Macaca fascicularis: one gene and its partner. The protein of the gene in region 1 binds, or shares a complex with, the protein of each later gene. Links are inferred from orthologs where the notes say so. Each region holds a gene or a part of one and is shown on either strand. Other genes may lie near its edges.

Evidence for each region.
Region 2: the proteins of PPARGC1B (region 1) and PPARA are in contact, whole or in part, in a crystal structure (PDB 3SP6), measured with the Homo sapiens proteins. The link is inferred for Macaca fascicularis from reciprocal best matches to the Homo sapiens genes PPARGC1B and PPARA. Residues at the interface, in NP_573570.3 of Homo sapiens: Ser154, Leu155, Leu156, Gln157, Leu159, Leu160, Leu161, Thr163; in NP_001001928.1 of Homo sapiens: Val284, Thr285, Thr288, Glu289, Lys292, Phe297, Leu302, Asn303, Gln305, Val306, Leu309, Pro458, Leu459, Glu462, Ile463.

The regions. Positions count from the first base shown.
Region 1 is NC_088380.1:156,714,008-156,717,818, reverse strand, and holds part of PPARGC1B (peroxisome proliferator-activated receptor gamma coactivator 1-beta), read right to left. Parts: intron 3,265-3,811; coding exon 3,200-3,264; intron 2,229-3,199; coding exon 1,418-2,228; intron 1-1,417. UniProt on the Homo sapiens protein: Plays a role of stimulator of transcription factors and nuclear receptors activities. Activates transcriptional activity of estrogen receptor alpha, nuclear respiratory factor 1 (NRF1) and glucocorticoid receptor in the presence of glucocorticoids.
Region 2 is NC_088384.1:5,378,263-5,382,073, forward strand, and holds part of PPARA (peroxisome proliferator-activated receptor alpha), read right to left. Parts: intron 331-3,811; coding exon 170-330; intron 1-169. UniProt on the Homo sapiens protein: Ligand-activated transcription factor. Key regulator of lipid metabolism. Activated by the endogenous ligand 1-palmitoyl-2-oleoyl-sn-glycerol-3-phosphocholine (16:0/18:1-GPC). Activated by oleylethanolamide, a naturally occurring lipid that regulates satiety.

The DNA of each region.
Region 1 (3,811 bases):
CAAACCTTTGACATTGGAACACTGTAGGGCAGAAGCTACCCCCTGGGGAAAGAACGGAGCCAGAAAGAGAGGCTCAGCACAGTCGGCAGAAGGCAGCTGTGACTGACTAATCTTGGCTTCTACAGTAAGGGCTCACTGGAGAAATTGCTGCAGACCTCCCTTTGAGGAACAAAAAATTTAGGGCTTCTTAATAATAGTTTGTGGAGAGCCCACAAACCCCCTAAAATTGAATGCCCAGTTAGATGTGTATGCACATTTTAATGGGAAGATGGGCCTTTGCTTTAATCAGGTTTTCAAACAGTTAAAAGCCCTTGTTGTCGATGTGTATAAAGCTGTAGTCTTTTTACATTTTTATTTAACAAAAAAAATTTTTTTTTTTTTTTGCTAGTCCCTTTAGAAGGGAAGAAGTATCTTCACAAGACCTAAATTCTGGTCTCAGAGTATGATATTCTAGCAATGTCATCAGCATCACCTGGGGACTTGTTGGAAACGCCAATCCCTGCCCCTGCCCCACCCCAGACCTACAGATCAGATACCCGGGTGTGGGCCGTGTGGGCCGGCCAGTGGAGGCCCAACAAATCCTGCAGCGGGTTCTGCAGCTGGGCTCTAGCCCAAGAGCAGCATCTAGTGGCCACTTGGCCTCACCTCAACACAGGGCTGGGGATGACGACACTGACCCTCCTCAAGCCTTCCCCAGGGAGAATCAGGACCCACTGTGATCATAGAGAAGCGACCAGTACCCTCCGACTCTGCCAAACCTCCATTTTTTTTCTGGCCAGCTCCCCAGCTGACTTTTGGACTGGCTTCTTCTCCAGTCTGGTTGAGCGAGCGAGGATGATACGAGCAAGCGGGCTCATGAGGCATCATCCCTCCACTGAGGTCAAAGCCCTTCAAGGGGCAGCCGACTGGTGAAAGCCACGGCGCACCTCAGCAGGACCCAGAAACCTTATCAATGCTTTATTGTCCAGGCATTTTCCGGAGCACAGATTAGAATTACACTCATCTTTCTTTTACATGTAAACATCTCCAGAATTCAAATGTTGGGGCATGTATGTTTGCACAAAAACCTATCCATTTTACAAATATAAAAGCAAAAAACACAGATGGGTAAGGGACAAGTTCCTTTAGACATAAGCCCACAAACAGCCAGGAAGTGGGTTTTCTTTCTTTCTAGAGGCCAGGATATTTGGGACACTCCCGATTTCACACACCAGGCTTTGCCTGCCTCCAGGACTCACCCACAACTGCCCCAGAAGACCACCTTCAAGGCCTCTGACCAGGACATGGGCCACACAGGGAAATGCAGCCTCAGTTTCAGAGCAAGTTTCCCGGGGATCCTCCCGCCTGGGGCTCCTGGTTCCCTGGGAACTGGGGTCCTCCACTGCCCGCTGCCTCTCCTGCGGCCCCCTGTTCATACCTGAAGTTCCTCCGAGTGGCTGGTGACCAGGAGTGGCAGGATGAGGAGCCAGAGCTTGAGCGGCTGCGGGAACAGAGCTGCCGGCTGGCCTTGCTTGGTGGGCTCTGGTAGGGGCAGTGGTCAGAGCAAGTGGGGCTAACCCCTGAGTCCTCTTCTTCATTGTCCTCCTCCTCCTCCTCCCCTTCTTCCTCTTCCTCCTCTGGGAGGAAGCTGCTCTCGCCACTGCTGCTGCTGCTGTCTTCAAAGACAGTGTCATACTCTGGGCTCTTGCAGGAGGCCAGTTCTTCCTCCTCCAGGGCGGTCTCCAGCAGCCCAAAGTGTTTGGTGAGGCTGGCTCGGATCTCATGGTCTCTCAGCAGCATGCTGTCCTTGGGTGGGGCGCCAGCACCACAGCTTCTGTCTTCCTCCCTGCCAGGGGACTGCGCCTCAGCCCGAGGGGCACCCTGCTGGGGCCAGTCCTCAAGGTGAACCCCAGACGGCTCCCAGGACCTCAGCACCTTCCTTTGCAGGATGCCCTCTGGTCGGAGCACCTGGCAGTAGTCATGGTCTCCAAAGGAACAGGAGAAGGGACGCTTCTGGCCAGCCTGGGAGGCTGGCTGGGCCGTGGCATGTCGCAGGTGGGACAGGAGCTCACTCCGCTCCGGGTGCTTCTTTGGCAGCTTATGGGCAGCCCCTGGGGTGGCCTTGAGTGACAGGCCCTCAGGGGAGGGGAGGTTGAGAGCTATTTCTTTGCCCAGGCTGTGCTTGATGTCCGGCTTGAAGGGATCCTCCTCTGTGGGCTTGTACGGTGGTGTGGTGGGTGGGGTGAGTCCTGCCCAAGCAAGAGGAGAAAGGTAAGATAAAGACAGATCACTTCTCCAAGGGACACTGAGACCCTAAGTTTGGGGCCAAGCATGGTAGCTCACACCTATAATCCCAACATTTTGGGAGGGCGAGGTGAGTGGATCACTTGAATCCAGGAGCTCAAGACCAGCCTGGCCAACATGGCGAAATCATGTCTCTACTAAAAATACAAAAAAATTAACCAGGCTTGTTGGTACATGCCTATAATCCCAGCTACTTTGGAGGCTGAGACATGAGAATTGCTTGAACCCAGGAGCAGGAAGTTGCAGTGAGTCAAGACTGTGCCACTGCACTCCAGCCTGGGCAACATAGTGAGACTATGTCTCGAAAAAATAAAATAAAATAAAATTTTAAAAAGACCCTAGTTTGGGATGGCAATAAAATGGCCAAGTGCCCTTACTCCCCCAACCCAGTGGATGGCAGGCATCACTAACTGATCACTGCACTGCTGGCTGAGCCTGGAGGTAGCCTGGGAATCCTTCAATTCTTTGGAGTTGGCATGTGATGAAATCCATTTGCCATCCCTTCTGTGACCTACTAATGGCAGCTGGAACCTCCCAATCTTCCAAATACCTCTTCCTGATCTACATCCAATCATTCAACAAACCCTCCCAACTATACCTCTCATATGCCTCTGGTGTTTCCCATGACGGACAGGGGGCAGGCACCGCAGGTAAAACTGCCCACCGGGGCTGGGCGCGGTGGCTCATGCCTGTAATCCTGGTTCATTCCCAGTGAGTCTTCTTTATGGTATCTATTGCAATTTGTAACGATCTTCCTTTTTTGTTTGTTTTTTGACTGCCTATAACATAAGCCCCATGAAGGCAGGCATCTTGTGCATTGTTCATTACGTGGCACCTTGCCCATGCATGATGAAAAACTCAGAGATGTACGGGTGTTTTCCTGAAGGCACCTGCCAGTGGAAGCCCCCTGGCTCACCTGCCGTGCCACAGAGCTCCACTGTCAAGGTCTGCTCAAAGCTCTTCTTGCCAAAAGTTGGGTCGCTGGTGGAGGCAGGGAGGACAGAAAGGAAAGAAGCAAGTCAGCATCAGGCATCCACCTCCCCACCCACGAAAGGGTCACATCGTGCTGTGACAGGCCCTGGCTCTGCTGCCCATGGAAATGGAGCCTGAGGTGCATTTGCTCTGGGGGAACCCCCATCCCGGCTGTTAGAGGAATTCAAGCTGCACAGCTCTTTTAGGAGACACAGGCAAGGTTCACTGGAGGGTAAATAGAGAACAAGTGTTGTCAGCCTCCTTATTTTATAGAGGGAGCAACTGAGGCCCAGAAGGAGGAAGGGACTTGCTGAAAGTCACAGGGCACTGTCAGAAAAGAACTCTTTTCAGGGTCCCCAAGAGGACAGGTTATGAAATGGCCTGAGGACTTTCCTCTGGCCTGCAAAAGTTAGTTTCTAAAAACCAACTCCCTTCTAAAGGAGCCCAGCTCCTGAGGGTCCCAGATGACAATCAGGGCACAGGGTGTGGGACCAGGACCAGGCATGGGGGCTGATGAACGCCCCCATCACCACCAACACAAATATCCAACAAGACA
Region 2 (3,811 bases), on another chromosome or scaffold:
GCTTCCCAAAGTGCTGGAATTATAGGTGTGAGATACCGTGCCTGGCCTGAGGTCAGTTTCTTATCCGGGACTTTCTGCAATCTCTCAGTAATGACTGCCATTTGCTATAAAAGTAACCACAAGTGGTTGATGGTGGCAGCCACCGGGCCCTGTTCCAGGTCCCCTCTACCTTGCAGCCTTCACACGCGTGGACTCCGTAATGGTAGCCTGAGGCCTTGTCCCCGCAGATTCTACATTCGATGTTCAATGCTCCACTGGGAGACTCGTCCACGCTGCCGGGGACCACAGGATAAGTCACCGAGGAGGGGCTCGAAGCTGGTGAAAGCGTGTCTGGGGAAAAAGAGGAGAGACAGATGAATAGTCCAGGCATCACTATCCTGTGTCTGAACCGGGTCTACGAGGATGTGATTTAGCATATGAGGCATCTAATGCTGAGGCGTAAACCTCAGAATACCCATGCAGGGCCGGGCCCTGCCTCTGGGTCACACCCTCTTGCACTCCTACAGCTGCCGTTGTGCTGTGCTCCCAAAGCCAGCATGCTCGCTCCGACTGCTGCTGAGCTGACCCCGAGCTCCGGACCCACACATCTCAGATCACGCATCCCTAGACCCACGCATCTCCGCCCCGCATATCTCCGGACTCGAGTGTCTCCAATCCACACATCTCCGCCCTGCACATCTCCTCATTCCGACATCTTCGATCTGAGCATCTCTGATCCGAGCATCTCCAATCAGCGCATCGCCGCCCCGCGCATCTCCGGACCTGCACATCTCCCATCCACACATCTTCAGATTCTCATCTCCGGACCTGCGCATCTCCGGACCCGTGCATCTCCGGAACCGCAGATCTCTGGACCCGTGGATCTCTGGACCCGTGCATTTCCGATCTGCTCATCTCTGTTCTGCATATCTCCAGACCCACTATCTCCGGACCCCCGCATCTCTGGACCCGTGCATCTCCTGACCCCCTACAGCTCCTGATTCGCACATCTCCGCTCCGCACATTTCTGGACCCACGTATCTCCGATTCGCCCATCTCCTGATCTGCGCATCTCCGGACCCGCGTATCTCCTGGCCCTCCACATCTCCTGATCCCCCCATCTCCGCTCCGCACATCTCCGGACTCCCTCAACTCCTGCTCCATACATCTTGGGACCCTCACCTCTCCGGATCCACACATCTCGGGACCTCTACATCTCTGATCCGCACATCTCGGGACTGGTACATCTCCTGATCCGCATATCTCCGGACCCCCACATCTCCGATCTGCACCTCTGGGTACCCGCACATCTCCGGACCGCACATCTTGGGAACCGCACTTCTCCAGACCGGTACATCAGACCCACACATCTCCTGATCTGCACATCCGGGGACCGCACATCTCCGCTGCACACATCACCAGACCATCTCGCCCATACCTCACCCTGCAGGACTCCCCGTGCCCCCGCGCTGACAGTGCCACACAGAACTCTTTTTGTTTGCTTCTTTCCTTCCAGTTCTTCCACAATTGCCAACTCAGTAAATGGCACCAGAATACAGTATAAAAATCTGTGTGGGTAACACCAAATGCATAATCCATGAAAGAGAAAATATAAGTTGGAATTTATGAAAGCTAATTAAACCTTCTGCTCTGCAAAACACATTGCTAAGAAAATTAAAGACAAGCCACAGACTGGGAGAAAATATTTTCAATACACATGTGGTAATATACAAAGAGGTCTTAAAACAACAATAAGAAAACAAACAACTCAATTGAAAAATGGGGGCTGCGTGTGGCGGCCAGGTGTGGTGGCTCACGCCTGTAATCCCAGCACTTTGGGAGGCCAAGGTGGGCAGTCACGAAGTCAGGAGATGGAGACCATCCTGACTAACACGGTGAAACCCCGTCTCTACTAAAAATAACAAAAATTAGCCGGGCGTGGTGTCGTGCGCCTGTAGTCCCAGCTACTTGGGAGGCTGAGGCAGGTGAATCGCTTGAACCCGGGAGGCGGAGGCTGCAGTGAGCTGAGATCATGCCACTGCACTCCAACCTGGTGACAGAGCAAGACTACGTCTCAAAAGGAAAAAAAAAATGGGCAAAAGATCTGAACAGTCACTTCAGCAAAGATGATATACAGATGGCATGTAAGCATATGAAACGATGCTCAGCATCATATGTCATTGGGGCATTGAGAATGAGAACAACAATGTGGTGTCACCACACACCTACTAGGATGACCAAAATCCACAAAACTGACATCATCAAATTTGGTGAGGATGTGGAGCAACAGGAACCCCCATTCATTGCTGGTGGGAGTGCAACATGAGACAGCCCCCTTGGAGGACATTCTGGCAGTCTCTGACAAAGCAAAGCAGTTTTACTGTATGATGGAATCACACTCGTAGGTATTTGTCCAGTTGATTTGGAAACTTCTGTCCACACAAAACCTACACAAGTTTAGAGCAGCTTTTTTTTTTTTTTTTTTTTTTTTTTTTTTTTTTTTTGAGACAGAGTCTCACTCTGTCACCCAGGCTGGAGTGCAGTGGCACAATTTCAGCTCACTGCAACCTCTGCCTCCAGGTTTAAGTGATTCTCCTGCCTCAGCCTTCCAAGTAGCTGGGATTACAGGCACCCATCACCATGCCCAGCTAATTTCTGTATTTTTAGTAGAGACAGGGTTTTACCATGTTGGCCAGGCTGGTCTCAAACTCCTGACCTCAAGTGATCTGCCCCCCTTGGCCTCCCAAAGTGCTGGGATTATAGGTGTGAGCCACTGCGCCCGGCCAGCTTTATTCTTAATTGCCAAAAATTGGAAGCAACCAAGATGCCCTTAAATAGGTGAATAGATATACAAACTGTGGTACAAACAGACAGTGGGACTTCATTCAGTGTAAAAAGAAATTAGGTATCAAGCCATGGAAAGACATGAATGACTCTTAAATGCATATTGTTATAAAAGAAATCAGTCTGAAAAGGCTACATACTATATGACTTCAAATTCATGGCATTCTGGAAAAGGCAAAATTATAGCAACGGTAAAAAGAACCATTTCTGAGCTGGCTAGGGGTGGGAGAGGCAGGGTCGAATAGGTGAAGCATGGGGTTTTTTGATGTGGTGAGACTATTCATACGAAAATGTAACAGTGGTCTGGGTACGGTGGGTCATGCCTGTCATCCCAGCACTTTAGGAGGCTGAGGTCGGCAGATCACTTGAGCTCAGGAGTTTGAGACCAGCCTGGGCAACATGGTCAAACCCTGTCTTTACAAAAAATACATAAATTTGCTGGGCATGGCAGTGTGCACCTCTAATCCCAGCTGCTTGGGAAGCTGAGGTGGGAGGATCACCTGAGCCCTGGGAGGCTGAGGCTGCAGGGAGCTGAGATTGTGCTGCCACTGTACTCCAGCCTGGGTGTCACAGTGAGACCTCCATCTAAAAAAAGAGTAGAGTAGAATAGAATAGAATAGAATAGAATAGAATAGAATAGAATAGAATAGAATAGAAAAAGAAAGAGAGAAAGAGAGAAAGAGAAAAAGAAAGAACGAAGGAAAGAAAGAAAAAGAAAGAGAGACCGGGCATGGTGGCTCACGCCTGTAATCTCAGCGCTTTGGGAAGCTGAAGTGGGTGGATCATGAGGTCAGGAGTTTGAGACCAGCCCACATAGCGAAACGTCATCTCTACTAAAAATACAAAAAAATTAGCCAGGTATGGTGATGCGTGCCTGTAGTCCCAGCTACTCGGGAAGCTGAGGCAGCAGAATGGCTTGAACCCGGGAGGTGGAGGTTGCAGTGAGCCGAGATTGTGCCACTGCACTCCAGCCTGGGTGACAGAGTGA